Linked DNA regions of Oryzias latipes. The protein of the gene in region 2 purifies or fractionates together with the protein of the main gene of each other region. This does not show direct contact. Links are inferred from orthologs where the notes say so. Each region holds a gene or a part of one and is shown on either strand. Other genes may lie near its edges.

Evidence for each region.
Region 1: the proteins of pre-B-cell leukemia transcription factor-interacting protein 1 (region 2) and long-chain fatty acid transport protein 1 purify together in Homo sapiens (co-immunoprecipitation; 3 studies listed by BioGRID and IntAct, with this or other methods). This does not show direct contact. The link is inferred for Oryzias latipes from reciprocal best matches to the Homo sapiens genes PBXIP1 and SLC27A1.

Annotation. Positions count from the first base shown.
Region 1 is NC_019866.2:9,139,139-9,155,891, forward strand, and holds long-chain fatty acid transport protein 1, read right to left. Parts: upstream 8,714-16,753; 5' UTR 8,315-8,713; intron 8,025-8,314; 5' UTR 8,024-8,024; coding exon 7,857-8,023; intron 7,777-7,856; coding exon 7,382-7,776; intron 6,985-7,381; coding exon 6,817-6,984; intron 6,320-6,816; coding exon 6,250-6,319; intron 6,153-6,249; coding exon 6,061-6,152; intron 5,981-6,060; coding exon 5,871-5,980; intron 5,780-5,870; coding exon 5,570-5,779; intron 5,489-5,569; coding exon 5,362-5,488; intron 5,265-5,361; coding exon 5,127-5,264; intron 4,940-5,126; coding exon 4,775-4,939; intron 4,696-4,774; coding exon 4,549-4,695; intron 4,446-4,548; coding exon 4,288-4,445; 3' UTR 3,403-4,287; downstream 1-3,402. Other genes in the region: zinc-binding protein A33-like, read left to right, coding at 695-1,102, 1,908-2,003, 2,091-2,321, 2,414-2,436, 2,542-2,660, 2,738-3,276; prostaglandin F2-alpha receptor-like, read right to left, coding at 9,675-9,923, 10,064-10,960; adhesion G protein-coupled receptor E1, read right to left, coding at 14,722-14,763, 14,976-15,071, 15,199-15,367, 15,608-15,699, 15,779-15,839, 16,001-16,218, 16,497-16,691. UniProt on the Homo sapiens protein: Mediates the import of long-chain fatty acids (LCFA) into the cell by facilitating their transport at the plasma membrane.
Region 2 is NC_019869.2:884,013-900,152, reverse strand, and holds the start of pre-B-cell leukemia transcription factor-interacting protein 1, read left to right. Parts: upstream 1-5,383; 5' UTR 5,384-5,718; intron 5,719-5,749; exon of another isoform or gene 5,750-5,914; intron 5,915-6,262; 5' UTR 6,263-6,318; coding exon 6,319-6,390; intron 6,391-9,640; exon of another isoform or gene 9,641-10,504; intron 10,505-10,624; exon of another isoform or gene 10,625-10,964; coding exon 10,965-11,052; intron 11,053-11,131; coding exon 11,132-11,199; intron 11,200-11,644; coding exon 11,645-12,251; intron 12,252-13,190; coding exon of another isoform or gene 13,191-13,192; coding exon 13,193-13,402; intron 13,403-14,835; coding exon 14,836-14,879; intron 14,880-14,960; coding exon 14,961-15,056; intron 15,057-15,132; coding exon 15,133-15,313; intron 15,314-15,546; coding exon 15,547-16,140. Other genes in the region: cyclin-dependent kinases regulatory subunit 1, read right to left, coding at 2,386-2,435, 2,893-3,020, 3,264-3,322. UniProt on the Homo sapiens protein: Regulator of pre-B-cell leukemia transcription factors (BPXs) function. Inhibits the binding of PBX1-HOX complex to DNA and blocks the transcriptional activity of E2A-PBX1.

The DNA.
Region 1 (16,753 bases), on a different chromosome or scaffold from region 2:
CGAGTATAAAAAAATAATGAGCAATGTATTGACGTAATTTTAATACACAGAATTTTTAAAGCATTTTTTACTAAAGCACCTTTCTGGTTTGTGCTGGTATGTTGGTAAAAGTAGCTGAAAACCACAGATTTCCCTTCCTCATCAATGAAAATGTTGCTAAGCGCCTGCAATGCTCACAAAGGGAACATGAACTAATGCTTATAATACCTGAACTTGACAGACTTTGCTGCTAATCAGCCTCTGCATGTGAAGCACACGTTGAGGGAATTTTTATCCTCTCTTAAGTTGATCTAGAGTCAGTCTGTTTTACAGTTTCAAATGAAGCGCATGTTCAGCTCTGTGCACCTCCCTTTCAGATTATAGAAGGATATCAAGTATAAATCGACTAATTTCTGCAGATTTCGTTTGACTCTTCCTCCATAGTATAACTAATTGATTAGTATATCAGTGATTGATGAAGACTTTTGCATTTGATTTGTGTTATTAATCTGAGGAGACTATATCCTAAATCCTAGTGAGATTTGTACTCCACTGAACAGTGTTAAATGTGAATGTGGTTCCTCAGCCGCACAGGATATCCCTTTGGTAGCAGAAGTATTAACAGTTATTTCTGAGGGATAAGATGAGACAGACTACCAGAGCCGTGGGTGGGGCTTTTTAGGTGCCAGCCTGTTTGACAGCACCATTCTAAAGAATGGCCAGCAGGCGCGTTTACTCTGAAGATGACCTTTCCTGTCCAATTTGTGGACACATTCTTAGTCAGCCCGTTGTCCTCACTTGCAGACACAGGTTCTGCAAAGACTGTCTGCAAGAGTGTTGGGACACGCAGGGCGGTGAGGACACAGATTTAAAGTGCTGCCCTCTGTGCTGGCGTCATTCCTCCATGGATCGGATAGCGGTGAGCAATGTGCTGGAGAAGGCCTGTAAATCCTTTAAAGAAGACAGAAGCAGGAATGACTCAGAAGCTTGCGGAGAGCATGGAGAAAAGCTCACGCTCTTCTGTGTGGAGGATTTAGAACCAATCTGTCATGTTTGTGGAAAATCAGCTGCACACAAGGGGCACAAACTCTATCCTATCGGGGAAGGCACTCATGACTGTAAGGTAGGCCACTGTAATGGTGCAGTGCTTCTTTTTTCACATAAAAATGTTTTTGTTTTCTGTTTCTTTGACACAATTTAATCTGAAAAAATTGCATTATTTAAGTCTTTCTGTTTTTTGAAAAAAAGTTGAGCTAAAATCATGTTTAAAAATCTAAAAAAAGAGGTTTGCTGCCATATTTATTTTATAGTTACCCATAAAAAGAATTTTCCAAAAAAGTGTTTTTGGTATATTGCAGTTTATGTAGTTCATACGCAGAGGATGAACTAACATTTATGCTGTGTTAGGGCCACAGATGGGCTTCTTACCTACCTACAGATTTTTTTATTTTCTTTTTCTGTAAATGCGGTATGCCGATGTAGAATGTGTGAAGGTTTCTTTGACAGAGTTTGTTAACTTTCTAATAATAGATTAATATATTTGGCTTCCTGTTGCCTCTGGGGTCCTGAAAGCACTGAAACTCGACTCTCACAAGGCTTCTGTGACGCGGCACTCATTCTAATGCTGACCTCTTCTGCTGACTTTAGAAACCAGGAAACCCTGAATACCAAACTCAAATGAATCTGTCATACTGTGCCAATTCAAAATTAGTATAGGCTTACACTACTGCTCATTATTTGTGTAAAATAGTAAACCTTTCAATAGTTTTGGGGTTGATTCTACTGTATTGTGGAGCTTTGCATTTAGGAGGAATGCTGGCATGGAGGAGAATGCAGAAGCTGGAAGCACCACACTGTGCTGACAGCTTGGCCACCTGCCGCTTTGACCTTGTTTTAAAAAGTTTGAACCCTTTCCACTCACATTTCAGGAAGAACTGAAGAGTGCACTCCTGCCCTTGAAAGACAAGTTACAGCTTCACAGGAAAGCAAAAACGGTGTGTGAGGAAATGGCAGAACACATCAAGGTATCATAAATCTGTGAGGTTCCAAAATCTTACATTTGGAAGAAGAGCTCATGTGAGAATTTACCTTTCGGTCCCATTTCTTTTCAGAGCCAAGCAGAACATGCTGAAAAACAAATTAAGGATGAGTTTGAAGCCCTGCACCGTTTTCTGGAGGAGCAGGAAGCTGCAAGAGTTTCTGCTTTAAAGGCTGAAGAGGAACAGAAGAACCTCATGATCAACCAAAGAATTGATGAGCTGAGCTGTGAAATAACATCTCTATCCAATACTATTAAATTAGTGGAACAGGAAATGAAGAGTCATGACATCCAGTTCCTTAAGGTAGTGATGACATTTTCACCGAACCACAAAGCTGTGCAACTTGTTTGACTGCATACAGATGTGTTAAAACTGTATTTATAATTTGTTTTCAGAATTACAAGGAAACCATAAAGAGGTAAGCTGCTTTACTTCTAAATCGTCTAAAAGTAATTATTATTTAGTTATCTTGTTTTATAGTAAAAATCTTTTTAGGAAGAATTCTGACAAACTTGTTTTTCAGGACCTGGAAAAGTTGTGATGAGCCCAAGCTGCTGTCTGGTGCTCTGATTGATGTTGCCAAACACTTGGGCTCTTTGAAATATAAAGTGTGGGAAAAAATGAAGAAGATTGTAAAATACAGTGAGTTTCTTGAGGAATAGTTTGATTGACAGGTGAACTTTTCTTAGCTAAATTCTAAGATATATTTTTTCTTTTAGCTTCAGTGATTCTGGATCCCAACACAGCTGCCAACTGCTTCATTCTCTCAGAGGATCTCACCACTATACAGAATTCTACTCAAATATTCAAGCTGCCCGACAACCCAGAGCGTTTTGACATCAGCGCTGAGACGCTGGCAGCCGAGGGCTACTCCTCTGGACGCCATAGGTGGGACGTGGAGGTGAATGACAACACATACTGGGTTTTAGGAGTTGCCAGTGAGTCCATTAACAGGAAGGGTAAACATGTGTTGACGCCAGCAGAGGGATTTTGGACGATCAGGTTTCGCAATGGAGAGCACAAAGCCTGCACAGCTCCGTGGGAGCCTCTTAATATGACAAAAAAACCTGCTGTGGTAAGAGTGGTATTGGACATGGACCGAGGGAAGGTAGCGTTTCAGGATCCCAGAGAGAGAAGCACTCTCTACACTTTCACAAACATCATCTCACCCAAAGTCTTTCCTTACTTCTGCACAGCCTGCAAAGAGCATCCACTGAAAATCCTACCAGCAAGTATTTCCTTATCTACCGAATACTGAAACGTTTGCTCAAATGTTAGCGCCACACATTAACTTACTTGTTTGAAGAATGGAAATATTTTAGTTATAATTAGTATTTTCATTATTTAAAGTAAAACTTGCCTGTACAAATACCACAACATTCAATTGAACATCTGGGTTTTTAATGAATAACATAAAAGAAATGCATTTTGAGAAATTTAATTTAAGTTACAGCAGAAGTGTATTCTAGGTCTCCAATTACAAATCACAATCATGAACATCTATATTACACTACACTGATAAGAACTGTTACACAAAAAATTATAGTGTTTCTCAGCTCCGCATAACACAAAGTCATTCTGTCATATCCACATTCATTTGGCTCCTTTCTCTAAAAATCATTTAGAATAGGAAATGCAAGTTTCATTGAAGGCACATTCAGTAATAATGTTTCTTTGCAAACCCACACCAGTGTTCCTTAAAGTTTCAACTTGACAAGTGGGATTAGTTTTCCATTGCATTAAAAAAGGAAGATCCTATGGGGTTAATATTTGAACTAGCAGCTTTTCCAACTGCATGTTGAAGTCTCTTAGCTTCAATCAAGCACACAGTGGTAATAGAAAATGACCTATACAGCATCAAATGTGCAGCAAAACATGGGTACAGTACCATGTAACAGTGTTTGTCTTGATACTACCCTTTCTGTCCTGACATGACCTGTTTCCGACTGATTACGGGTGATTTCTTCTTAGTGATGCTTGAAGGCTCTATGAGGTGTTCACTTGATTTTAAAATAAAATATCCTATCAAAAGGGCTGCTCCCACTTCATGTCCTTGTGTTAATGACACTGTGTTAAAACATTAGCTGGAGCAGAATTCTGTCTATGTGAGTAGTCTTCTCAACTCTGTTCCCAGATAGGTTAAAGTGCAGACAATGGTGCACCAAGTCTGACTGGTCCAAGCCTTTCTGTATGCATGTCCTATGCTATCTCTTTCAACAACAGTTTATTTAGCCTGTTCAACTGAGGCCTACTGGGTTTGCCTGCCAGGTCATAGGGGAATTCTTCCCTCAACTATAGCATTGTAGAGCTCCTCGTCGATAGGCTCGTATCGTCCAGCACGACTGTTCAAGTAGTAGAGCTGGTCAGTTGTGAGACGAGGATCGAACCCTTCCCTCTGCAGTCTTGTTTTCTGGATTTTGAATGTGCCTAAAAAAAAATGTTGACAAAGTCATATTATTTTGAATCCGTAAATTATTATGGAGACATTAATGAGTGATGGCGGTTCATGTGCAATGGTGGTTCTATTCACCTGTGGTGTCCACCTGTGGAGAGGTCCGTAAGAATACAGGGCGTGCATAAGAAGGAAGTGCTCGCTGGATGTTCTTTAAGAACTTGTCGCAGTCCAAACTTTCAGAGGCATCAGCAATGGCAGCCATTCCTGCCTTACCCTCCACACCTGGTGCAAAATTCACAAGAATAAGGATTACAACGGGTGAGACCCTGAAGACGCTTCAGTGTAAATAGACAGTTGTTACCTGGGACAGCCACACCATACACAGCCACATCAGTCTGATCCAGAAGATTGCTGATTATTCCCTCCACCTCAGTGGTAGAGACGTTCTCCCCTCGCCAGCGGAAGGTGTCGCCACTGCGATCGCGAAAATACATGTAGCCCAGTTCATCCATCACCAGCACATCGCCTGAAAACAGTGAAAATAGTTTTTCAACAGCCATTTAGTTTAATAAACTCACAGTTTTAGGAGGGATAACCAAACAGATCAGGTGAACTACTGAAATGACAAAGCTGGCATCACAACCTTCTAACTTCTAAATTATCTTTTAACATTTTCCAACTGTTTTTTTTTTTACAATGGGAAGAAAGGTTACCTGACATATATGCACAGTCGTTTTTCCTGAAGACATTGTGAGCGATCTTCTTCTTTGTAGCATCCTGGTTAGCGTAGCCATCAAAACGTCGCAATGGGTCCTTCTGGTCAATCCGACCTACAAGGAGCCCTGGCTCCCCTGCAAATTAAATATTGGGATTTCAGATAACCCGCAAGGCATAAAAGAACACCCTCCTTCATAAGCTACATCAGTTTGTGGTCCAGAATTTCATTACCAGGGCGGCAGGGCACACACAGGCCTCGGCTGTCCCGGAGCGGTTCCATGTTCTCCTCATTAACCCTTACCAGACGGATGGGGTACACAAAGGGAAGAATGCGACTGTTGAATCCACAGGCTCCCACCTTAAAGAGCAACACAGAACCAGATTAATACCATATCTATAACATTTTACCATTGCAGGCACATGAACCATAATCGCTAACCTTGCCGTCCATGTTAGCAATACTGCAGTTGCACTCAGTTGCTCCATAGAACTCGCCAATTTGCCTCACTCCAAAACGCTCCATAAAGGCTTCCCAAACACTCGGACGCAATCCATTCCCTATTGCCAGACGAACTTTGTGACCTTTCTCAGATGGGCGGACTGGCTGAGATAAGAGGTAACGGCAAATTTCTCCAATGTACTGCACCACCTGTCAACAGGAAGAAACGTCTTTGTTTTTTACATGACTGTTGTTTTGTAATCAGCAAACACATTTTTCTTCAGGAACTCTTAGCCCTTACAGTGCAGTTGTACTTGATGCAGTCATCCCAGAAGCGGCTGGCAGAGAACTTCCTCTTCACAACCACGGTGAGACCATGGATCAAACACTGTCCCACTCCAAGAATATTACCTGGCAAAGAACACACACACATTTAGCAACACAAACACTGAAAGTGTTGATAAAATACACGGAAGGATTTTTTTTCACACCTGCAGAGTGATAGAGGGGCAGACAGTCATAAATAATGTCTTCAGTACGCATGCGAAAGGCATAGTACCCAAAAGCAGCAATTCTGTAGTAGCTGTAAGAGGAAGTTGAGTTTTTTTTTTTTTTTTAATGTGTCACAAGCTGTACAGCAGTTGAACAACTTTAAGGAGTTTTTCAGAGCAAAAACATACCGACTGTGTACAACAATAGCAGCCTTAGGCAGTCCTGTGGTCCCAGAGGTGTAGATATAAAACAGCCGATCTGCACACAGGATTACAGAACAGTTCTGCAATTACGTACTTCAAGTTTATGTCAAGATCCTAATCAAAGGTTTACATAAGCTTGTATGAACTTATTCACATTTCATTAGCAATTAAAGGCAACTTTTCTCCACTTTCTGGTTGCAGTTTACGTGTCAATCTGAATATATATATTTACTTGGATTACATTCAGAATGCTTACCAAGTAAAAGAATGGCTAAACTAGAATTTCAAACCAAAAACACATCAGCAGGGAGAAGAAATAGGCCTTTTGTGCAAGAAATAGATCACAAAGTTCAAAATCTTACCCAGCAGCCAAAATATACTCCAAGCTAAAACAATTATGTATTACAAGACAGCTAACATTTATACAGAGATGCATAGGTATAGAAATTAATCACATGGGGACAAAGTGACTGCGTTTAGTGGCTGATAAAAAAAAAACTTCTAATTGGAAATCATCACAAGAAAGTTAAGAAGTGGTCAGCCTCTACTCACCATTCATGCCTTTAGGGGGAACACAGGGTGACGGGCTATGTCTAGGTGCAGTAGCTAAAACTGCGTCTAGTGGCTGAGCACCCAAGCAAGCCAGCATTTCTGCACTAAGCTCTCCGGTACAAAATCGTACCATGGACTGGCTGATGGCAGAGTTGACTTCCAACAAAGCTGATCAAGTTGGGAGGAAGACAGTTGATGGGAGGAAAAAGCAGAAGTTCCAAAATTTTAAAAACTGCAATAGAAAATACATGAAACATCAACAGATATTTACTTATGCTGATACATGTGATATTGTAAGATTCTAGGCTACGCTCACAATGTCCTTGATTCATGAGATTTGCACCGCTTTGACATTTCCCACCAAGCCTCTTCCAACTGTAGGTGAGGGACATGCGCTGGTAAACATTAAAAAAATTTAGAGAAGAAGAAGCCCCTCCCTGCTAGTTCAGTGTGAACACCATGGGCTAAATGTGCGTTCAAAAACCTGCGTTTAGCGGATTCTTGAACACGCCTGGTGAAGTAGCTTAAGGAATAACTGTTCACATGTTGTGTAAAACATTCTTACCATCAGCAAGCTCGGCTCCAAACACAATCGCCCGGGACCCCGATACCCCGATGCAGTGCAGAAGGGGATCACAGCGGAGGCTGAAGTTAATGAGTGCAGCTTCCACCCCAACTTTGGCCAAGCCCAGCCAAAGTGCCACCTGGAGAGGTCTGCTTTCCAAAAAGAGGGCAACGACATCCCCGGAGACCCATCCCTGACCTCTAGCCCAGTGGGCAACTGCGTTAGAGGTTTCATCCAGCTGGGTGAAGGTCCACACCTCTCCTGTGGCCTCATAGATCAATGCTGGTTTGTTTGGGTGTTGTTTTACAACCTGGGTGAAAATGGAAGGAATATTGCTTCCGTTCCGCATGTAGCGCCACAAAGCCAGCTTGACTCTGCACAGGACATACAGGCCACTGAGAAGGGAAAAACAGGAGATCACTGATGAACAAAAAGTTGACCTAAAATCAACATCCTTTCCAAACATTTCACCTACTTGATGTCTCTCGTGGCAGTCTTTGCAGCAATGTAGAAATATTTCCAGCTTCTTGCTCCCAGATACGCCCCAAGGCCTGCTGCTAGACTCCAGGACCAGGACACCCCAAAGAGACGCAGCAGCCCCAAGGACCCCAGAGAGGCAGAGACACTCGCTGCATTGTGCATTCTCGTCACGGAGAAAGAAGAAGGGTGGTCTTTTTTTTTTACACAATACTGGGTTTAAGCTGCATGGGCTTCAGATCAGAGGGGGGCTCAAGTAGTGCAGTGCAAACTGGCACACAGGCACGCAAAGAAAACTTTTTATCCTGTCACGAGCGACTAAAAATACACATTTGGTGTAAAAACACGATCTTAGCATTACATATCTACAGTTAATTCTGCTTTAATAAAAGTATCGAGCGTCAAATACCGCGTTCAAAAATGCCACAGTAGCGTAAATGTTTATGCACGACTTACCTATGAGTCAACACTGATGGGGATATCCCGGTTTTTAGCTGGTGACCTCGTCGATGATCGGCGCAACTTTCTGCTGTACTTTAGTGAAGACAAGCAGCTTTCGAAGCGCCGAAAGAAGCTGGTTTTCAGAAACCAGAAGTTTTTGTTAAGTTAGCTCCGTTAACCGCACTCAACGTGGCAGCGATGCAGTAGTTAACCGGGTTATAACGTCTAAGCGGCACAGAAATATTTCTATTAAGAGGTCATTTAGTAAAAAGACCAAGCAATACTAGATCAAAAGAGCCCGTGTTCATTAAATAACGGTAAACTGACGAGGAGCGATAAGCTGTCAGTATATCTGACTAGGTTCTGTACTCCATGTTGCACAGAGCGGTTGGCATCGAAGCCCCGCCCACCGCGGGTGTGAGCTTTGTGTAGCAGATCAGCTATTTGTTGATTTCCCCGCTTGTCAAGCAATTCTAAGTTTTGATTGGACGAATCCATCCAGCCTAAAATCCCAATCACCACTGGGAGCCGCTAAGAATGTCGGACAAATTGTAAGGACGTCGACTCGGTAGAGTCAAATAAAGGTTGTTAAATGCAGTTTGACGCTTGATTACTTTACTTATTGCCAGACATGTCTTGCCGAATGAGTTTTGCAGTTTAATTTACAAGGGGGGAAATTAAAATATTTTTAAATGAAAAGATTAAAGACCCACTCCAAACTGTGTTTTTTGTATTTAACATTGTGTCATTTTTCTCATGATGGAGGACATACAGGCTAGAAAGAAAATTAAGTTTAAAGCAGCATTTCTGAGTATTTGTTTATTCAAGTTGTTGTGAATTACGAACAGTTGAATAAATGCTGCTGGAAAAACCCTGTAGAAGCGATGTAGGTGCTATAGTTTGCGGTCTATAGGCTCCCTGTTTCGCTCCATTCTGATGCATCCAATGACAGAGAAATAGCTCCATGTCTGTCTTTGTTTTCCTTGTTCAAGCTGGTATCTGGCATGCAACTCGATGGCTGGATAGCTCCTACATTCCTCGCCATTTTTGTTGCACCGGTAATTTTAGGTTGGAGTTGTGAGGAGTGTTGCTACCTAATCTGTAAGCATTTTGCAGTCAGAGTATGTCTTCAGATGTGTCACTCGGAGAGGGTGTAAATAAAGGAATGATGGGAAACGAGGGGAGGCTTACTCGGCTTACTCTGCTCCGACAGCCCTGTCCACACCTGCTGCTCTGCAGAGACTATGTCCTAGACAACTGACACAGGTTTTTTGATTTTGGCTAAAATGGCATAATCATAATTAAAAGACCACTGAGAATGTTTTTTTAAAAATAGATCTAAAGATGATTGGAGTGGGCCTTTAAGGAAACTTGGTCAATGCAAACGAAACACCTCTCTTTGATATTCTACAGAATAGCTGTTCGCAGACATTGTTGTTCTTTGAAAGTAAAATCCACGGCAAACCCTTGAAAGCACCGTTTTTCTCAGTAAGATGTAAACCCATGGGTCCAGTATCTGATTCCAGGCAGCCATGCGTAAAGCCAATAGGGTAAACCCATCCTTCATATTAGCTGACAGTCTGGGACTTGATTTGTGCAGGATAATAGTAATGTGGACCTGAAATGTAGGAGAAACACAAAGTTGTCACTTCAAAGTTTCACCTGGTTCTAATCTTATGTTGTTATCAAATTTTTCCCCCAACATTTCTGAAAAAAACTTCAATATAAAAAAGCAAATCAATGAAACAATAGAGTTGTACATACAAGGAATGGGCCCCAGCAGATACAGGACACCACAGTGATCACAGCAAGTTGTACAATCATCTCCATATCCAGTGAACAAAACAAGGAGGAAGATGACGCAGACGATCCTCGTCGAGCAAAACGTGTTGAAGTATTAGTGCTGCTGCAGGACTTCCTTCTCGCTTGGAGTAACACCAGGCCACTCAGGATGTTGCAAAGCAGGGAAAGAGTGAGCGCAGTGAGGCCCAGACAGGAAAAGGTCATCACCAGGTTTTTGTCTGCAGCAGTCTGTGGTTCATGAATTTGCAAAAAGCACCATGTGCCAGGAAACTGGATAGAGTAATTCCCCACACCAAATACAGGTAGTAGAGCCAGAGTACAAGCAACAGAGCACAAAAGCAACACCATTCCCTGTGCATGGGCAACTGTAATAGTGGATATGTGGTAAAAGGGTTGAGTGATTGCAACACAGCGCTCAACTGCCATGGCACATCCAATAAGTAACGAGCATAACCCAAAAAAAACCATGCTTGCTCCAAAAAATGGGCAAAAGTTTATATTGTTGTTTGTAGTAGTTGTCCACTTCTTATTTACGTGCATATGCAGTGCAAAGGCACCTAAGATGAGGTGACCTCCAAGGTCAGCCAAAAGTAATGCCACGGTTAAATGAAAAAATGGTGCTTTAGACTGACGCCGGAATCTTGCTCGTGATTTAGCTAAGATTCCCAAAGCAGTGAGGTTGGAGATCGTGCCAAAAGTCATAGTAAAGCAGGACATCAACAAATCTGGAAGATGGTTGGAAGTTGCAGTGCCATTTTTCTGTGAGGACAGGTCAGAGCAGTTAACCTTCGGGCTCTGCTGGAGAAAAGGTGGTATTGATGAATTAGAAAACGAAGTCACAAGTATAGTGGTGGTCATCGTCGTCTTGAGGGTTATCTAAAGAAAAGAAAATGATTGGCATCAGTTGAAAGCTATGGTGTATTAATTTTCAGTATGGTTTCCACGTAGATGTGTTTCTGTGCTACAGTATTGTAATGAAGTCCACAGTTATTTATCTAAATAAAAATGTGAAGCAATAAACCACATTAGGAGATGTTAAAGTTAAAAGAAGCCACTTGTACACGAAACAATGATGATGAAACTGTGGTTTTGTTGGGTTATTAACTCAGCTGGATGCTTGTGTTTGATTTTATTGCAAATGTTAAAACCACAATGTAAAATGTCTGTGTACAACTGTGCAGTGTACAGCAATGTCCTCTGGGCTCAAACCCCAGGCATTATCAGCCATAGGCCTACTGATATTTTCTAGAGTGGAATATTACCCTTTAAAGTTTAAAATCTCTTTTCTGTTAAAGTACCACTCCTATCATCTTTTCAGCTACTTCAAAAGCATTATAGTGGTGTTTTGATTGTGATTCTGCCATTTTTAGCCAAAATTTAAAAAACCTGTGTCGTTTCCTAGGACATAGTTTCTGCAGAACAGTAGTAGCTCATCAGAAATTTACCTGTGAGTTGTGGGCCGGATCGTTGGCACGGTTTAAGACTACTCCCACTTCCCATCATCCCTTTGTCTACACCTTCTACCGGTAGCTTACAGACCCTCACAACCCCAAGCGGTGCAACTAAAATGCAAGCGATATCAGAGCTATCCAGCCGTAGAGTTTTGATCCAGATGCTAGCTCGGACGAGGAAAACTAAGACATACATGGATCTATTTGTCTGGAAGTGGATGCATTAGAATGGAGCGGAGCAGGGAACTTGTGACCCGTTGATTATAGCACCTCACAGCTATAAGCTTTTTCAAACCACCTTTTTTTGTCTACTCCTGATTCATAAAGATTTTGGAAATAGAAATGCAGCTTTATGCTGAATTTTTTTATATATGTCCTCCACCATGAGAAAAATGCCACAACAACATCTAAAACATGAATCTTATGGGTCTTTAACAGGAAAATGCCTCTTATATTGTATATCACGTGTGCCATCTAGAGAAATTGTATTTAAATCTAGTCTTCAAAACTCATATTTGAAAACTTATTTACAATTTATTATTTATAAAAGTTAATCCCTACTCATCAACTATTTCTTAACAGTTTAAAACATCTTTTCTCTTTGTTTAAAGTTTGAATAAAAAACATATTCAAGTTTGAAGGAAGTTTTTTTTTGAGGAATTACGCTACACATACCAGAAAAAGTGATATTTTCCTCTCAACAGTCTTAATAGTAAGAAAAAGTATGAAGTGATTAACACAAACATGAATGATTTCTTACTTTATTTTATTGCTAAAACAGATCTTAAAAGGTTAAAACACACACTTTTATCTACAAAAGAAACTAAAAGGTACTTCATAAAAAGAAAAAACCTTTAAAGTATTTAGTCTCTTCTCTCAGTGGGATACACATGTAAAAGAAAAATACAAAGCAGACTTAATATATTGGCTTTAAGATGAGGGTGACACAAGTTCTTGATCAAACATTGGTAAATGCTTAAAGCAGACAGTGATTCACATTTTTCTGTCTCTTGAAGGTGAAAAGTTTATTCTCTCTTTCTGAAATTGTGAACTAGTAAAAAAAAAACTGTCCACAAAGTAAGACAAAGGAAATCCCCGAAAACGCTTTGTGCAGTTCTTATTTTTTATTAGGCTTCTTTAAAGATCTTTGTAATCAGAGAATCTGAGTCTCTCCAGTTTATTTTTATTCACTACTACTCTCAGGAATCCTAGCAGTACCACAGATCCATCAAGGCAAGTTAAAACCTGTTCTGCTTTCCTTTACCTACAGATTCCCTATTGGTCATCATCTTATTAGAGAGGAATAAACATAACATATTTTTAATATAGAAAGTATACACAAAAAGATTTTAAATCATGAGTTTAACTTACCTTTAAATAAATAGAAGGTTTTTCTGATGAAGCTTAAAAAACAGTGAGAAAAAAGTATGCTGGGTTTTATCTGTAAAGTTTCCAAATGTGCAAAACTTAAAAATCCCGATTTCCAAAACGCATTTGCCCTTGTCTTCACTGTCTAATTCTTCTTTTCCTCTCTGACAGTTTCTGCCTGCTTCATCTTGCTGTCTGCCTCTTTCACTCTGGAGAGAACTTCTTTATCTGATCTGCATTTTCTACCCTCCTTTCAGCCACATCCGTACTGGATGCGTTACCTCCATCTATTGATCATTGCTGCTCATCCTCTGAAGCAAACTGGATCTCCTCCAGCACTTATTAGGCTTTGTATTATTGATCCACTGATCCAGTGCCTGCAGAATTTTTGAACAATGATATTCAAAATCGGTCATTTTGTATTTTTACACTTTTGAACTTTTTAAAGTTGTACATAGACTTGTTGGTCACTCAGTTGTAACTTTTGATATTTGTCACAAAAACAGAGTCAGAGTTTGGAACCATGGTGACCAGTACTTCAAAGTCTTTCTGGTTTATACCAACTAACCCAGACATTGAGAACAATCTGTCGTACATGCACACTGTTTTAATAGAGTCTGAACCATTTACAGTTCCGGCTTCATAACTTTGTACAACAAGAAGCAGACACAAAGAAAAGTTCAAAGTTGAATTTCAAGTGTTCTCGGAAAAAACATTTGGATGAATATAAATTAAAAAGCTGACCTGCGCCAAAAATACTGGCTATGATTGTTAGGAATGTGAAATATGACATCAAAATAAAGTAAAAAGGTTAAAAAATAAATGATTTAAAGAAAGAAAAAATAAACAGACGATTCAGGGGGTCCAAGATTTTATCAGGAAAATCATGTCTTTTATCTCACGCATACAGGAAGGAACACAAAATAGTCCATTTCCTATGTGTCCACGAGCATTCTTTTACTGTAAGCACTGCCAACTGATCTCAGTAAAGAAAATCTATTTAAAACTATTACAAAAATGCTTCAAGTGTGAAATTGGTTGTAGAAAGTATTTATTTAATCTTTGACAAGTAAAAATACAGGAATTTAGCTTTTACAAGTGAGTGGCAAACAACTTCTTGAGCAGAAATATTACCCCAATGCTAAAACAGACTTTGAAAGCACAAATAGTTTAATAAAATCTCTGCACATTTGGGGAAGCAAGCATTTAGACTGTTGGACATGCTTCTTGATACTGTATATATGAAATGGTTCATTCAAAGTAAAAATCTGTCTTCATTTTCGATACAATTCAAAGGCTGTGGACAAGGAGAGGGAGGTTTTATCACTAATATTTCTCTGACTTTTATTTTCATTAAATTAAGTGCCTAAATGTTATGGCAAACATCAAATACACCTGATGAAACAGTTTTTTTATTTCAAAGTATTTAAAAAAAGTTTTTTTTCTCAGCCATTTAAAACAAAGCCTCAACAAAAAAGGTTGTGGACTGTCATTGTCTATCAGTTTCTAAAATAAGTCTGAAATAACTCAGTTTTAAATTGGATTGTGCTTCATTAACTGACAAAATACAACATTTCTGGATTGCTAAATTATAACTAAACAAATATATTTTAAATGTATTCTTTCATTCTAAAAAGATTAATCTTTATAAAACAATATTTAATAATACTATTTACAAAATAAAATATTTCATCAATATGGTCCACAAATTATGATACATGGCAGTAGCAGCAAGCAAAGTGACTATAAGTTGTGTTTTTTAGCCAACTGTACTTTTGTCCCAGTTCATCGTTCAGCTCCTTAAATTTGAGATTCTCCTGTGTCCTGGGTACTTTTGGATCCCTTAGGATGACAAAAGGATGAGTTCAATTATTAACAAGAACATCTTTGTGAAAAGTATGGTACACTACACATATGTACCTGCTCTGTAATACTCTATTAGCTTAAGACTCTGAGAATCCTGTTTGCTCAGAATAATAACCTGAAGATATTTGTGCAAAAAAAACAACAACAAAAAAACAAGACACTGGTTTGAAACAGAAAGAAGGGCTTACTTGTGGTTTTCTTGTGTGAGAATAACTGAACTCTGAGTAGGTCTTCTTCCGAGGTGCAAAGAGTTGAGACGAGATGTTTCCATATTCTTCCCTTATCTGTATTTATGAAAATATCATAATTATGATTTCTTAAAATAAAATGCCAAGAGACCTAATTTGACTTTGTTGCTTTTTTGGCTCATGCTTACTAAAATTATTTCTAAAAAAAAAGATGCTGACCAACCTGTTTAGAAAGTAGACAGTGCATTACAAAGAGCATCACACCCTGAAGGCTTCCAAAAATGGTGAACAGATAAGTCATGGCAATTGTGCCCTTCTCGAACTGGAAACACCCAAAGATCCACATTGTTCCCAGTATGCACAGCTGGGCAACAGCAGTGATGGTAAATGCCCTGTAGGGGGCAACAAGGACCCATGCAATCACTTGGAGCTACTGCAACATTTGAAGATTTTCATTTCAACGGACATACTTACTTAAATGACTAACTTATGTGATTTTTATTTTTTTAAAGCAAGCAGCAATCATTAAAAACAAAGTAAAAAGTAAGAAACTATTAACACAGCTGTGTAATAAAGCAGTTTATATTTGGGTGTTTTTAATTGAAGTTGTTTGGATAAAAGTTATAACTTACTTTATTTTCTGCAGGCTGTCTAGGTCAGGATTTAGACTTGAGAACTTCTGTGCCAACTTCCAGGCGGTGATTAGAAAGAAGAAAATGTTGACCTGAAAGACATATACAAAGGTTTTAAAACAAACTGGAGTCAATAAAAAAGAAAAAAAAAGAAAAGAAAAAAAATCATACAATGATGATGACACAGGCAGGCCCAAAGAAACTCCAGATTAAGTCCAAACTCAGCCAGCAACTGAAATACACATTTAAAGATCATTTATCCCAATCAAATTTCTAATCAATAAGCAGAAGCAAAGTAAAACTAAAGATGACGAATTTAAACAGGAAAAAGAAATGAACTAAGCAGTGTAACTTTCAATAGTTGAAATACAATGAGAAATTTGGGGAACTCACTGTCTGTCAGTGCCATATTCTTTGTGACTAACCAATGCAGAAACAGCAACAATTACTGCTGGGACTCCATAGCCTCCTGCCATCATGTACAATGTTTTAAAGTTGGTGTTGAAAACCAGAACCACCATCCTGAAGAGCTGGATGCCCTCCAGACACATCCAGCAAAATGCTGAAAGGTAGAAAAAATGCAGCATTCCTGCCACCACTGCACACCCAACCTGTTGAACAGACAGATGAAAACCAGCATGACATCAACCAAAAAGAAAATTGTTATAGTAAAATACAAGGGTCTGAGAAAAGACCAAAAATAAATAAGTGTTTTTTGCTAAGTAAACTTTTTTGCCAACGTACGCTATTTGCTGACTGTGTTCTAACCTTTCCTGATCTCTGAACTTAGTTCTTTTATTTTCTTTCCATTTTTCTCTTGTACTTCTTTTTTTCCATGTCTGGGATTTAACACACTTTCAGCACATTTACATGAACAGCAAGTATTTACCTTGTTCTCTGTCCTAGAGATGCCTGCAAGAAAGATGAGATTTGCAATGAAGAGGCTGATGCAGAGGTGCAGGTGCATGGTGGTTCTGGGGCTTTGGATGGAGCGGATCATAGAGAACGTCAAGATGCAGATGAACAGACAAACCAGTGAAAGAGACAGGCCCACCCATGTAATCAACTGCAAGTCAAACTTATCCTATTGGATGAGAGAATATTTAAATTGGCACAGTGATGAAACACTCACATGCAGCTCATTCT
Region 2 (16,140 bases):
GAACGGTTCCGCCTCTGGCGGGATTCACCAACCCGGACGAGACCAACGGGAATTTAGGACTTAGAGGAGGAGGGACTATTGGACTACAATTAAGAGTGCGAGTTATTTTTCTAGAGGATTCCAGTTACATTGGAAAGAATCTAATCATCTTTAAGAAATCTGCAGCCGGAAAGGTTTTCAGGAAAAGGTCATCAGCCTGATGAATCATGAGCGCCTTTCAGATTCCCCACAGGAGGCAGTTTTCTGCTCATCCCCACACTTTCCCCCCCCCACCTTAAAGTGTCAAGCATCTCCCCGCCACACATCTGCATCTCCAGGATGAGACTGGAACTGCTGACCAATCACAGCGCAGCGATTACCTCGCCAACATTTTGCAGAAATGGCCAGAACATCACCCAGTGATTCACAAATCATTATTGCCCCAAAATGCCTTGCAGAGTGCACTTACTACCCATGGTGCCTTGCTGTGTCTGCCTGCATGCATCTGGAGCACAACTCCCCCCCCCCCCCCCCATTGTGGCTAAAACGACATGCAGGTGTTATCTGGTAAGAACTTTAAGGGGGGAAAAGCCACAAAGAAAATGATCATCCAGTTGGGCAAAATAAGGAGAAAAATTAAACATCTAAAAAGAAAAAAAAAAAGTGTCCTGAAGTCCACTAAAATGACCTTAGCTGCTCTGCCTGTCCTCCACTGCCCCCTACAGTTACAGAGGTAGAACTGCAGGTCACTTCTTTCAAAATAAAATATTTCAGTTAAATTTCAAAGCAGATTTGCTGGCTGGTCCCTAAACAATGGAAAGAAAAATCATAGTTTCCCATGAAAACTATTAGAAGCAGCAAAGTTCAGAGTTTGTAAAAGATTAAGATTTTTTATTTAAAGAAAGATTTCTGGAAAAAGGTTTCAAAACAACACGAAGGATTTAGAAAATCCTTAAAATACGACGTTTGGCATAACTGGATAAAAAGTTGAAGCTAAATGTTAAGGATGGAACATAAAAAGATACAAATATGTGGTTTGGGACAGAATCAAAATAAAATAAAACACCAAAAGGGGTTTAAAAACGAAAAAAGGTTGAAAGCAGTTACTTCACCAAAACACATTAAATTTATTTTTTTTGTTCTGAAAACTTGAGGTTTAAAAATGGAACAGATGAGATTAGAAAAGTAGGTTCCTGTTTTTTCAAAAAAAAAAAAAGAAAACCTTTGTTTTTTTTTCCAAACATGTTTGATTATTCTGAATAGCTGTTTGAGGGAGACTTTATACAGACTATTAAGGCCAGTACACACTGGGACTGGTGCTTGAAATATTCATGTTTTCTTTGTATGATTCTGAAAAGCGCGTAAATATTTGCTCTCTTCTTCTGAGTGAAAAGCGACTTCAAGAAGCGTGAAGTTGCGCAGCGCCACCTTGTGTACAGGAGTATTTCTGTTTTACATTAAGCGCCATCTAATGTCAGGGAAGGAAATTGCATGTTCGCTCGGCTCATCGTCAGCGAAAATCGCCTGGGTGCGAACATAAAACGTGGCGAAAAACGCTGGCGAATAACGCCTGGCGAATATTCGTCCCGGTGTGTACGGGCCTTCACACCGGTGAAAATGAAACCAAGCACGGCTGGTGCACTCTGTTCCACAGAGACCGTTCAGACACGGTGTGGCCACGTCCAATCCAGATTCAAAACAAATCTGCACCAATCCAAATCAGATTTAAAACTTGACATTTATTTAAAGAAAGAGCAACATTTCATAAATACCAAGCTGGTAGTCAGCAACTGAAAAGATTCATGACAGGAAGCCCAAACCAAGTTGTTTTCACGGAATCCAGATCCAAACTAGTTTTGAATTTGTCGCAGATTTTTTTTTTTGGGGGGGGGGGGGGGGGGGGGGGACATGAAAATATTTTTTTAAGGTACAACTGACATTGTAATTTAAATCAAGCAGCAACATGTCGCTTCAAACCACAAATGTACAAAATCAAAACTACATTTAGGGCCCTGCGAGTCTGCCGGATGCTCCCAGAACAAAAAGGAAAGTTTCACCGGAGTGACAAGGCAATGAATTCTACAGACTGAACATCCCAGCAGGTCCAGCGAGATACACAGGCAGGGCTAGAAAGAAGGGCCCAAAGTGTCAGGCAGTTGTGTGTTGCTGTTTACATGCAAACGTCTCGTCTAAAGAAGCGGCGCTTTGTTTTGTTTTTTTCCCCTTCTTCTCATCTGGACACACAGGCTTTCACATCCTCTGTTCGTAAAGGTAATAGTTCATCTCCTGGTCCAGCTCCATCAAAGCAAGTTACTGACCACAACAGCCTGGTGATCTGACGGCAGCTGTGGCGACTTTGAGCGTAGAGCTGGAGGCCTGATCTCTGCAGGACCCAGAAAATATCCTTTATGACTTCTGGTTCGGCAGAGGGCGTCTGAACAGCAGGATGTGTGGCTCTGGAGGGGGGAAACGTGAGGAAGAGGAGGTCACCCTGTGCTCAGTCGACCCGTTTTCACCACAGACTTAGCAAAAACCGGAAAAGGGTTCATCCGTTTCAGTGTCTCTGGATTAACTAATGTACAGGCCTGCATCTGCTGGGGAGGTTAGAGCTTCGTCGGATGATTAAAAAGACTCATTTTAAAGGATGTCATAAGAAAAGCATTTTTTGTAACAATATAAAAAGGTTCAGTTATCAAAATGTAAAACATTACACATCTATTGATCAGTTATCATGGAACCAAACTAAAGAAAATTGAGCATCAAGACGGAAACGTATTCAGACATCCGATTTATTGATCCAGTTTCCTTTTTGACAACATTTCAGGAACTTTTCATCCCAAAAAATCAAAGAAGCGTTTAGAGAGAAAAAAAGCCATATTTTATATAATATATAGGTTATAACTAACTTAATACCTGGTTGGTGGATCATGTAATGCACCCATCCTTGACTCTGCTGGACGCCCAGATTCCTCCACTCCGTCTCTGACATCAAATGGGTCTTGGGAACCCGCTTTGCGATCTCTTTGGGCAGCATGACATGTCTTTGGAAGAGGATTAAATAAAGTTTGTTTAAACAAGTGGATCATGGATTTTGACCATCCTCTTCTGCAAACTTTGTATGTTGTTGCAAACTAGCAAGTTATTTAGAAGTTGAATAAAAGTCACACAGAAAGGAAAAGGGAGACGCCGGTTGTTTTAGCCAAGAATTAGTGATTCATAACGTCACTAAATAAATGACCTGTCAGTGTCACCAGAAGCGTCCGCGTCAGTCAGCCAGACCTCACCTGTACTCGTATTTGTCGTCGTCATATTTATCAGAGTAGTATATTTGTTTGTGAGACATCGTGGAAGCCCGTAGAAACACACAACTGTGGAGAAAGTGACAAACATGCGGTTGGAATAAAAACAGCTAACGAGTTAGCTAAAGTTAGCAAGCTAGCTAACGCTCTCCGCCAAGACTCCCAAAAAGTTGGAACACGATTGCAACTACGACACAGAATGTGATTACTCATTTACCTTTATAAAGCGGAGTATATTAAGCAGTGTAAGACAGTATAGCGGTATTCCAGCGTTTCCACAACAGCGAACTACTTCCTTTTCCTTGTTTCCCTCTCGAATGCGTGAGAAACCGCCGTCTGATCATTCAAATAGGCCAGCCTTCATCCCATTGGCCAATCCGGCGGAAGCTGATCTGGTGGCCGGATATGACATCACTTTTTATGGATATGACGTTGTGTGTACGACTTTCTAATTGGTCAATGTCTGGAAACATTAATAATAATAATAATAATAAATAAATAAATAATAATAGTTTCTTAAAAATACAGAATTTTCTACTAATAAAATTACAAATATTTACTAAATAACTAATAAAAATGTCATAGTTCCTTCTTTCATTAAAACAAATAATTTACAATCCACAGTTAAAATAGCTAAAATAAGAACAAAAATGAATGAATATATCTAAAAACTTTTCATAAACACCATTTCTTTATCAGAATCACATTCAAAAACCTTTAAAAAAGCAATGGTCCACAGAATAATTGCAAATCATTTGGATTATTTTATTTTTAACGCTTAGCTTAGAGTGTGTACCTTTCTTCTGACATGGTTCAAACACATCTCCATACGTGGTCCATGAGTTTAAAATATCAAAGGTTTAACCAGCTTTGTGGCGATGCGATACAGTCCAATTTTATCATAAACTTTTTTACTAAAATGGAAACAATCCACGTCTGTTATTGCACTATAAATGAAATGCGTCTTAACAGAGAAACTCCTTGATTTTATTTTTAAGTAACAAAAAAAGAGTCTAAAGGACATAAGTGCTTTAAAAGAGTCAAACCTGACATTTCGGGTCTTTCAGACGGTCTTGTCCGTTGATGTCATATCAAAGTCTGTCATTACTTTACTAAAGCATGTTCGCAGTGCCGTGAAAAAAGGGTTATCATGTGTTTAGTGAACATAAACCTCACTGTGGTTCACCTTCTGCCAATTAGGATTGGTAAAAACACGCGTGTGATTGAACATGTTTGTTTGCATCACACATACATGCACAGACAGTAGAGACACAACAGGAAGACAAAGGTTACCAGAGACTGATTATTTACTTCTGGGTCAATTTGATCCCTTTGTACCCAACAATCTTGTCAGTTTCTGTTGTTTCTAACCACTCTTAGTATTGATTTGTTTAAATACATATCTTATCACTTAGATGCCGACCTACTATTCAAATTCAATTTACCGGTCTCTATAAGAGAAAAGGGATTGTCTGACTTGTTTGTTTTATTCTACAAAATAACTTGAAACCAACTTGATTTCAGTAAATGTGGACAGAAAAGTGAGGTGTGAGCTTTCTTCTGTCACAGCAATGATTTCTAGAAGAAAAGACGGCTGTGGCGTTCCTGTACATTCATGAGTTGGTTTATATTGGGGCAATATCTTGGTTGTTTAGCTCTAAATGACCCTAAATGGGAATGAGGGATGGATGGAATTACAGTGAGGGAGGTTCTGACTCCCTCAGAGGACTCCTGTGTGTTGAGTTCCCACTAAAAAGCTTTATTACGGTTCAGGAAAATCAACGTTCTACTTAAACATTACAGTTTAATAAAAGGCCGAGAAGTGTTCTCATGGAAAAGGATGTCTGCTTCTTCTTCTGCTTCTTCTTCTTCTTTTCGCTGACTGATCCTGTCATTTTCTGACCCTGTGGGTTTCAGATGATTGACATGATGACAGAAGTGTCTGCAGAGGAGAAATCGGAGTGCAGGGGTTCTCCACGGGGGTAAGTCCCACAGTCAAATATAGTTCTGCAGACGTGTCAGTCCCGGGCTGGACCGGGACCTGCTCCCACCCGCCTATATATACATGTGGAGGGAAGGAAGGGCCCCCACGCCACGGCGCGCGCTTTCAACCAAACCCACCAAGAAGAAGAAGAAGAAGAAGAAGAAGAAGAAGAAGAAGCTCGGCCTTCACCTGCCGTTTTCACCTGGATGCGTCAATCACGCTGGCCTGCATGTCGTTCTCCGTGACACCACGTGACCGTCTGATTGGCCCGTCAGTGGTTTGGGGGCGGGCGCTCCCAGGCGTTTGCTGAAATCCCATTGGAGGACAGCATTCAAGGTTGATGTGACGCAGCTTGGAATTCCCAAAGTTTTCGAGTTCTCTGGAGGAGAAATCTGTTCTCCTTTGGCAGAAAAGACCCAGGAAAAGGTTCTGCAGAGCTCTGGTCCACAGGAGCAGGTAGGACCGGGTCGGCCCGGGTTGACAGCGCCGCTCCGGGCTCGGAGGAGGAGGGGGGGATTAGCGCGTGTTTGTGAGGCGCGGGGCTGAGCGGGGACACGGAAGTGCGGGATTGGGAGTTTTTGGGCTCCTTTGTTTATCTCCGGGAGTGAAGGTTCAGACCGGTGCAGGTTCTCCAGGGAACCCCGGTGGACAGGTGAGGATGGCGTTCTGCGCGCTCTCGATCAGCGCGTTCTCGCTCCGGTCGATAACGGTTTATTGGATGAATGGATCATGAGACAGAATGATCGATTACAGATTTATTGGAAGAAGTCCAGATGTCTGCAATGTTCCGCTGCGCAGCAGCTTCATACCATGTTGCGTAACGACCACCGGCCGCTTATCCGCGGTGCGCAGAGCAGCTTAGCGCCGGTTACGTAACGGCTTAGAACCCCGCGCACGCTCCGCCGTCCGCTACCGTCGCGTCTGGAGCGGCAACCGTGAAGTCCCACAAGGCATCTCGGCTCTGGTATGTTAAACTGAAGGCTGCTGTTGTCATGCGCAGAACATCCGAAAAGCCAACCAGCCTCCTGCTGTACCGATTCTGGCCTGAAGGGGGCGATGTCGGACAGCAGCAACAGCACCGGCAGCAGCGGCTCCTCAACCAACAGCTGGACCCTCCTCTCTCCCGAGGTGAGCAGGGGCGGAGTCGCGATGACGTCACCTCAGGTTCATGGCAGTACTTTTTTTTTTTTTTTTGCTTTATTGAACACAATACAAAACAACACAAGAACATTTACATAAAATTAACAAAATATGGCGAATACAAGAAATAATACTGCAATTTGAAAGGAAGCAAAAAAACAAAACAAAAATTCTTATCAGTATGCATATATAAACCTGTCCATAGTCATAATCATAGAGAAATTAGGGAAAAGTATAACATAAGGAAACAAGAATTCCAGAGTTGGATTATGTTATAATAAAATGCAGGGGGGTACAACAGATAAATAAATGGTCTCGAATATTGGGAATTTATCAATATCTACTATGATGATCAGCCAGTAACCGTGTTCATCTGCTATATGGGACACAATTTTGTCTTGGAAGTTTTGGAGAAGTACAGCGACCCCTACTGATCTGGAATTGCCATGACGGAGGAAACCTTGTCCCCCCCCATTGCTGACACCAAAATGATTTATCTGCATTTGTAGAGTGCGTTTCTTGTAAAAAAAAATCAAAATCAACATTTTTCCCTTTACAAAATAAAAAAAAAACAAAAAACAAATAAACTTTTTCTCTTTGTTAGATCTCTCAGACCTCTTGCATTTAAATAAAGTAAAGAAATACCTGTTTTAAGGTGCAACATGTAACAAAAAGGCAAACTTAACAGACCTAAATGAGGCTGAAAGTATTACTGAACAAAAACTTTTAAGCAACAAAACCTTGAATTTACAATAACCATCTTAACTAAATAAATTGCAAGACTAACTAAAGTCATGGAATGACTCTCTGACCATTAATGAAAGCATAAGGACCACGAAACATTGTCTTACAACCATTCTTTCTCGCCTGCTCAACTTTGGGCCACACCGCTTTCCTTGCCTCTCTGTCTTCTTTGATGAGGTCTTCTGCAAAGCGGATGTTGAGGTCTGGACAGACTGGATGGTGTTTAGTCATTCGCCACAGTTCGTCTCTGTATCTCCTTCCTGTGAACTGAATGATGATTTGACGAGGGCGGTTGACGTCGGTTGGGCCCAGCCGGTGTACCGTGTCCAGAATGTTGTCCACTTTCTCTGTCCAGGGTGGTGCGATCTTTGTGATGAGATCTGCCACAATTCCTCCAGTGTCTTCCCCTTTCTCTTCTTTACCGCCATTTAGTCTCAAGTTCCATCTTCTCTTGTATCTTTCCGATTCCAATGTTTTCTTTTCCATCTCTGATGTTCTCTGCTCCAACTCCACAGTTTTCTCTTTCAGACGTTTCACTTCTTCTTCCAACTTTTTATTTCTGTCTTTACATTCTTTGATTTCAGCAGAGTTTAATTCCACAGCCTTGGCTATGGTGGATATAGTCAGAGTGTTTTGCTGCAGCTCCGACTTAAAGTCCATCATCATGCCTTTGAGGCTTTCAATTGCAGCCAAGATTGCGGCGTTTGAGGCTTCTCCTGGTCTGAGAGAGCGGGTTGCATCTGGTCTTAGCTTGTTTTGTGGCGCAGCTGGCTTCAAAGGTGATGCCACGCTGTTTTTTGTCCCCTTAGCATTTGTTTCCATGTCCTCAGGCGTGCAGTAGTCATGTGGAAACAGCATTTTAGCTCTAGCATTAGCTGTAGCTTTAGCATTGGGTTTAGTAGCCATGCTCGTATAGTTATTGGGCCTGTTAGGCAATCTTCAGTTGGCTCCTAAACTTGCTTTGTTTTATCTTGATATCCAGTGGAGAGTCGGTTTTGTAACTATTCCGTCCTAAAGTAACATTTTCAAGGTTATGTTGCGCAGAACGCTTACCGGACGTTTGCTCCCATCGCCATCTTGCCGCGAATCCCATGGCAGTACTTTAGAACAGTGTTTTTCAACCAGTGTGCCGCGGCACACTAGTGTGCCGTGGGAGATGGTCAGGTGTGCCGTGAGAAATTGCCCTCATTAACTGATCTAAAAACAATTACCATCTCCAGGAAATCAGCTCTTTGTTCATCCAAACAGGTCCTGATAAAACACTGAGAAGTTAAGAATATGAAATATCATAAAATTATTTTTTCTTTGTGTTTATATGATTCTATTAAAGACATTTTGATAAGAATAACGGGATACCGCGATTTAGCTGCAGCTATAACTGTGTAAGGAAAAGTCCCGCCCCTTTAACTGTCTCCACCAATCATTCTTGAAGGCTTAATCACATGTCATCAGTCTGACCAATCAGAAGTGGTTTGAGTATTCACTTCCTTGTTTCGATTTAGCGCAAAAAAGTCTCTCTGTTCTAACAAAAATACCAGCTAAAGCTCGTCTTTAGCGGTGTAGCTTTCCACAGAATCTGGTATCAGACTTGAACAAGTGAACAAAACCATGAAGCTCAAAGACGCTGGTCTTTCTGCGGTCGGCGGATTACGGGTACTACATCTCCCATGATGCAGTAAAGTGACTGTCTTAGCGCACAATGAGTCTCTCCTCTCAACGTCTTAAAACAACGAACACACATCAAACAGTTTTTGAATCTTTTGACTGAATTTTTAATACATCTTTTAGAAAAAACAGCTGCAGCTTCCAGCGTTTTCTGCAACAATTATCACAAAAATGCATGTGAGATTGCAGAGCGGCGGTAGATCAATAAAGACTGAGCCTTTTCTTTATTTTTTATTTATCTATTTTTTTGGATGCTGGTGTGCCGCGGGATTTTTGTCAAGGTTAAAGTGTGCCGTGGCTGAAAAAAGGTTGAAAAACACTGCTTTAGAAGAAGCATTTTGAAAGACCTTTCAACAAAAAAACAAAAAATAAAAACCTTGAAAGACCTTTAAAAATGCTCTTAAAACACGATTTGAACCATCGCTGCATGTAAACCCAAACCTGTGAATTTACACACTGAAAAACTTCAACCTTCATTTTATGTCACAGATTATTTTATATCCTTGAGTCTGTGATTATAAAATGAAACCCTATTTAAAATAAAGTCCTATATAATTCTCTGGACTGTTAATTACTGTCAGGATGATTGAGGGACAATTAGAAAAATAAACATTTTACGACTTTTCCTAAAGAAAACATAAAAAGAGTTCATGTTTCCATGGAGACGAAACGCCACGAGGCTACAGAAATCATCCTTTGGGTCATTATGACCCATGAACTAGAAAAACATTTGAACACAAGAAATGAGTTAAAAGGCCACACAAACACACACACACTCTAATCCAGATACACACACTCACACAAACAAACACACAGAGTCTAAGCAGCATTTTGTTGTTTTGCGGGATGATTAAAGGGTTTTTATAATTCACTTCATGAAGAATATGAAAACGGAAGGAAATTCCAGATTGAGAACTTTTTTTTCCAGTTTTCAGTTTAATTAAATCAGAAATAAGCTTAAAAGGGATTTTGTGTTGAGTAACAGAAAATATGATAAAAAAAAGTAACATGTTGTTTCAACAATAGATTTTACATTTTAAAATTCAATGAAGTTGCTTCATTTTGGGGGCTGTGGTGGAGTGGTTCTGTTTTGACCCGTAGGACAAGGGAAGCCGATGGAATCTCAAAATCACAACGGGTCATTCTGACACCAAACATCTTATTGTGAAAAACCTCAGAGGTGTGTCTGCTAACGTGTCACGTCACACTGTGCACGTTTGGCACGCCAGAAGGACCACGGCTGTCCAATTCCCTGCATTCCTCTTTGATTCCGGATGTCATTCCCGCCGCCGTCGCCTTCTGAGGTCACGTCTCTGCTGTGCGGCGCTGCTCTGGATTGCTGGCAGACCAGTTTTAACTTCCTGGACGACTGTCTTCCGTTTGTTTCCTAACACACTTTTGGTTTTTTGAAGTGGATAGATGTGTCCTTTAAGGGTCAGTGTTAGGGTTAACCCTACTGCTTTCTTTTCCAAACGGCGTGTCTGCTGTCACATGTAGATGTAGCTTCCACACGCGTGTACTGGTGGTAGTTTTCGCCAAAGTTACAGGGTCAAACCAGGATCAACGTAGAATGAAGGAAATGGGAGAACGTCATCACTGCTATTGACTGTAAATGAGAACTGGACTGAGAGACTCCTCCCTCTTGGCGTTCCAAACAGGAAGTGGCTCCAAGAAGCCAAAATGCCACAGACGTCTATAGAGAAATAAACCGCTGTCAGTCAGAAGAACCATTCTGGATCTGAGACTTTTTTTTCTTGATAATCCTAATTTTTGTTTCATGATCATTTTTCTGCTGTTCAAATTATAAACTGACCTGATTGGAAAGAGTGGTTGCCATAGAAACGTCGACTTGGACCAATCACTGGTTACATCCGGTTCAGAGATGGCGGCGTCCCCATCGTAAAAAAACATGAAAAGCATCACATAAAGCATAAGTGAATCAAAACACGAAACACAATAAAAACCTGAAGGTAAAAAGTTGGTTTTTCAAAATAAAAGCGGAAAATACAATATTGCCTTTAGGAAACTTTTTCTATTAAATGTGGAGTTTTGAGATGAACTGAAAAGGATCAAACCAAAGCAGTTGGGACTTTTGTACATCCGTGTCTGCTTGTATCGCCGTTTCCAAACCGTCTGTTGATGTCTTTACGCAGGAGGCCGCCGCCATTGAGAGTGTGGGGCCCGTGGACGACGGCACGGAGAGCCTGGGCGACGCCCCCAGTCTCTCTGAGGAAGTAGCAGGTATTTATCCACACACAGGCTGATTGTGGAGCCCGCACTGACCGTCCAGATCCCACTCTGATCCCCCATCTTCCTGTAGGAGCGGCGGCTGAGTTCAAGCCGGCTGACATCGCCGTGGAAACGGTGCTTTCTGAAGAAGGCCATCAGGTAGGTGGTTCGGTCAGACGTCTGCTCTGGCCCTGCAGGGCTGTGAGAACAAGAACAGAGATCTCTCATCCCCAACCGGGACATTCATTCCTGTAGCGTTCAAGGACAGACGGAACTCCAGAGGAACGTCTACGGCCCGGACGCTTTCTGAGCTGCTGAGGGAAAGACGTTAGCCACACCCACTTCAAATGTTCAGCCAATCACACGATAGACTAGACATGACGGATAGGAAAAGCTCTAAGTGGAACCCAGTTCTGCAAACACATCATCATAAAATGTATTTTAACAATTCAGGGTTGTTTTCTCCAAAGAATCCAGAATTGTTTGTCAGCAGACGAGGAAGAAAAGGCTGTTCACTCAGAGTGGGCGGAGTCAAAACACCTGAACTTCACCTGAATCAGTAACTCCGGTACATTAACTCAGGTAATCTGTCTGCCGTCACCAGGTGTGTCAAGAGACCTCCCCCGAGTCCAGCGAGGGTCCCATCCCGTCTAGTCCCGCCCGCATGAGCCCTCGCCCTAGCACCCCCCTTGACCCCCCCGACCTGGACTTGGAGAGTCAGCCTCCGGTCATTCACGACATCGTAACCACCTCCCCCAGTGACAACGAGCACCTGGGGGGCGTGTCTTTTGTCACCAACATTGATTTGAGCGCTCCCCTCGATGTTCCAGAGGTTGAAGTTTCCTCAGTGGAAACTGAGCTGCTGTCCTTGGCTCCGCCCACAGCGGAATGCTCCGCCCCTGCCGAGGTCGACACATCTGCCGACTCCGGTTCGATTCCCTCAAGTGACGTTGGGGAGACGCCTGACCGCACAGCTGAACCTGACCCCCCCACAGAGACTATCACAGCCACCAGCTCTTTCAGTGTCGAGGCTGAAAGTGGCGTGATTCCAGAACGAAAAGAGCCGCCGCCGCCACTGACCAGACAGTCGGATGATGAAGGTCCCGCACCGGAGACCAGGGGTTTGGCTGAAGAAGAGGAAGAGGAAGAGGAGGCTGCTGTGAAGCCAGAGATGCAGACTCAGGAGGAGGAAGAGGAGGAGGAGGAGGAAGGTAGGGAGCTACTGGAGATGAATTCTGCTTGGTCTGACATCATTGTATTGATTGATTGATACCTCCTTAACGCCTCAGTCGCATGCACCTGCGTGGGGGGGTTGACCTGTACCTGTGCTGTGGAGGGTCGTAGAGGAGCGGTTGCCTGTCGACGGGAGGACAGGGGTGTATTTCAGTCCCCTTGAGGCTCACATGGCCACCTAAACGGAACGTAGCATTGTGGTGTATCTGGTAAATGTACGGGGACGTATTCGTAAGGCTTAAAGCAGGTGCACGCACCTGACGTACAGGTGATGCTGTCGTACGCTGTCCTCACGCCACACTAGTTGTCAGTAAGGTGCGAGTACTGACTCCATTTTTTTCATCTGCTGACCCCCCGTGTCCACCTGTAAGGACAGTTGGGACTAAAGCTTCCTTCACACGACCATTTCCAATGAAAAGTCTGAGGAAACGCGCGTAAATGTGCATTTCAGGCCGCTACCAAAGTCCTGAACCACCGTCTTCCGGCTCCACGTACAAAACCTGCAGACATTGAAAGTTTCAAACTAGTTGAACTTTGAGCAAACAGGGACTCTGATTTGTTAGTGACGTACGGATGGCGTCCATTTTCAGGAGAAATTAAGACATTGCCATTTGTGTCCAGACAGAATTTAGCAGAAAGCAGAGCAGCAAACAGGACTCTGGCTTTGTCAGCATGTTTTTCATATGTGTCACGTAAAGCCCCCCCCCCCTGCTGGGAGCGCCGGGGAAACCCAGGCTTTTAACCACGATGGCATCCTGTTCTCCAAGCTGTCCTTTACAGAGCTGCTCCTCATTCCTGAACACGGACAGCTGAGCCTCTGAGGATGATTGACTGGAGTTGAAGGACTCACACGCTACGCTATGTGGTCGTTTGAAGACGGACTTCCTGCTGGTTTCACGTTTTCCTCGCCTTCCCTCAGACCCGAGCGGCAGCTTCGACGACGGCCTGAGGAGGAGGAACGTGGCCTCCTTCGATGCGGCCAGACCGCGGACTTCAGACGAGGACGACGACGAAGAGGAGGTGGAGTTGAAGTTGCCGGAGAGGGGGGAGGAAAAGCCCTGGTTCTCTGTGAACAAATGCATTGTGGGAGCTCTGGTCCTCCTCTTCTTAGGTTCCCTTTTCCTCTCAGGTGAGTTCTCCTCTCATAAAACCTACTTCTGCTTTTCAAACATTCGTTCAAACGTCGTCGACGATCACAAATCCATCACTGTCATTAGCTAATAACCTCAAACTCTTTGAGCCAACTTTATTGTTCCAACTGTTGTTTACAACAGTCCCGATTGATTTGGTTTTCGCTCCACAATCGTCATTTCAAATAATTCCAGGTTTTATTTTATGCAGCAGATGCTTCTACCTGATCAAGTCCGTCTTTAATGACCTCGAGTTCAGCTGATTTTTTATTTGTTTACTTGATAATAAACACAACGTTAAATCCCACATTCTTTACCAAACACTTCTCCATCGCTCTCTGGAAAAGGTCACCAGGATTTTTCATAACGTTTCTTTGGTAACAGTTTATATTATTATTGTTAGTTACTGCATAATTAAGCATTACTAAGTGTGTTTTTAATGCATTAGTTAGCAGTTGACTGTTATTATTATATACTATATTATTATTATAACCATTTATGATGCATAAATGGGAACACTTTAAAAAACAGTTAATGTAGTTTTGTGCAGTCATTCTTTAAGATAAGCCAAAACATTTGTTATAACATGATAACAACCATCATCCTGGGATTCTTCTGCTTTAGTATTTTAGAAGGACGTCCAGGCCTTTTCCTGGACTTGGTACCAGTTCTGGTTTGAGATCAAATTATTGCAGCTTTTATTGCTAAATCATTTCAGGGAAATGTCTGAAGGAGCTTCAAGCAGCTTTGGATGATCGCTCTGCAGTTTTCTTGCATAATTAAGAATTCAGAGAGCGACTTTGACCAGATCTGGCAGAGTGTCACCCTGTGAGAGTAGATTTGATCTGATGTTAAAGAAAAGAAACAAAACTCCAAACGGATCTAAAAATGTCCTTTTTGTTGGAAAGGATTCGCCGTCTGTTTGACTGACGGCTCTCTACCTGTTGCTCCTCCTCCTCACCTTGTTTCCTGTGACCCTCGGTGTTTACGGGTCACATCAGCTGCTCTTTTGCTGGAGTCAGCCGTATCCTTGTGTCCGTTTAGGGTTTTGCTGACGAAGCTGCTGGGAGTCGCCGGGTTTCCTCTGTGAGCAGAGCCCGCGGCGGCGGCAGCGGCGGTTCTGCGCTGGCGGCTGGATCTCAGTTTACTGTCAGAGCTCACATCCATTGTGACGGCTGCTGCTGCTGCTGCTGCAGAAAGAGGCCGTTCTAGTCCCAGAATCAGGCTTTGGTCCTTTTTTCAGGATTTGCTGGGTTTCTGAGCAGGAAATCGAAATCTTAGATCTTTGATTTTGAGGATCTAATTCATAAAATGAGTCTAGAATTCAGAAATGGGATGAAGTCTGTTCTTTTGGGGCTGTGGGGTGTGGGAGGGGAGGTGGCGGCTGTGCATCATACCGCGCTCACACGTGTGATGTTCCGTGTTCTGACAGGTGACTTTGACGCCTCTGAGCTGAGTGATGGAGAACAAAGTCAGGTCTGTTGTTCCATAAAACCTCTTCAAACCACAGAAACTAACAATCAAACTGATGACAATGCCGATGTTCGTCACATCCAGGACTGGCTCGGCCCCGATCCTCAGGATATGAAAGCACTGATGGACAAACTGCTGCAGGAAAACCAGGAAATCCGTCAGCTGGAGAGTCAGCTGCAGGTCAGTACGGAGTCCCGTTGGGGTCAATCCTCCCTAAAGAGAAGCTGAAGAGCTCGTCCTGTTTTGGGTTTTCCAGACGAAGACGGAGGAGCTGGACTTGGAGGTGCGAGCGGCGGCGGCGAGCGGGGACGAGAGAGGAAAGGCGGAGTTAGAAACGGAGAACGCCAAGCTGAAGGAGGAGCTTGGGTCTCTGCCTGAGCTGAAGGAGGAGCTGGAGCAGCTGAGGGCCCGAGTGACGGAGCTTAGCCGGCTCTCAGGTACGTCCGGAAATCACCTGAGCTGCTCGGTCTGATCTCTGTGACCAAACCACGAAAAGATTAGAAATGTCCGTCATGTTAGATGTCTGTCTTTTTAGACCATCAAAGCTTTTCCTATTAAATGACGTTTTTACGTATCTTGAAACTCATTTCTAAGTGAACGTTTATTATAGAAGCTTCCAGAGATGCATCCACCCTAAAATGATTCTCTGATGTTTGTGAATTTTCCACAGCAGTCCCCCCCCCTCCTCCTTCCTCCTCTCGGCCCGATGATGTCGCCGCGGGAGAGCCGGACGCCATGGAGGACGCGGGTGCAGGAGCACCGCTCCAAGAAGAACTCCAGCGACAGAAAGGCCTGCTGATGGACAGCAAGAAGAGACTGGAGGGGATGAAAAAAGACGGGGGGCACAGGAAGCAGCTCCAGGACGGCCTGGAAGAGGTCCGCAGGAAACTGTCCCAACACGTGGAAAGTCTGGGAAAGAAGAAACCGCAGGAGACCAGGCGGAAAGAGGGCAAAGGCAAAAGGTCCGAGGGCCACAGGAAAGAGGAAAAGAAGGAGTGGAAGCACGGCAAAGAGGGAGGATGGAAGGGCAAGGAGGAGGAGTGGAAGCCCCCCAAGGAAAACTCCCACAAAGAGGCCTGGAGGAAGCACCAGGACGAGTGGGAGAGGAAGAAGAGCGAGCGCCGCGTGGACAGAGAGGAGCGCAGGAAGGAAAAGCCGTGGCACAGCCGCTCTCACCCTCCTCATCCTCAGCAGCAGCAGCCCCCCCGGCAGCAGCACCACAGCCACTTCTGGAAAGACCAGGAGCTGAAGCTCCACCGCAGCG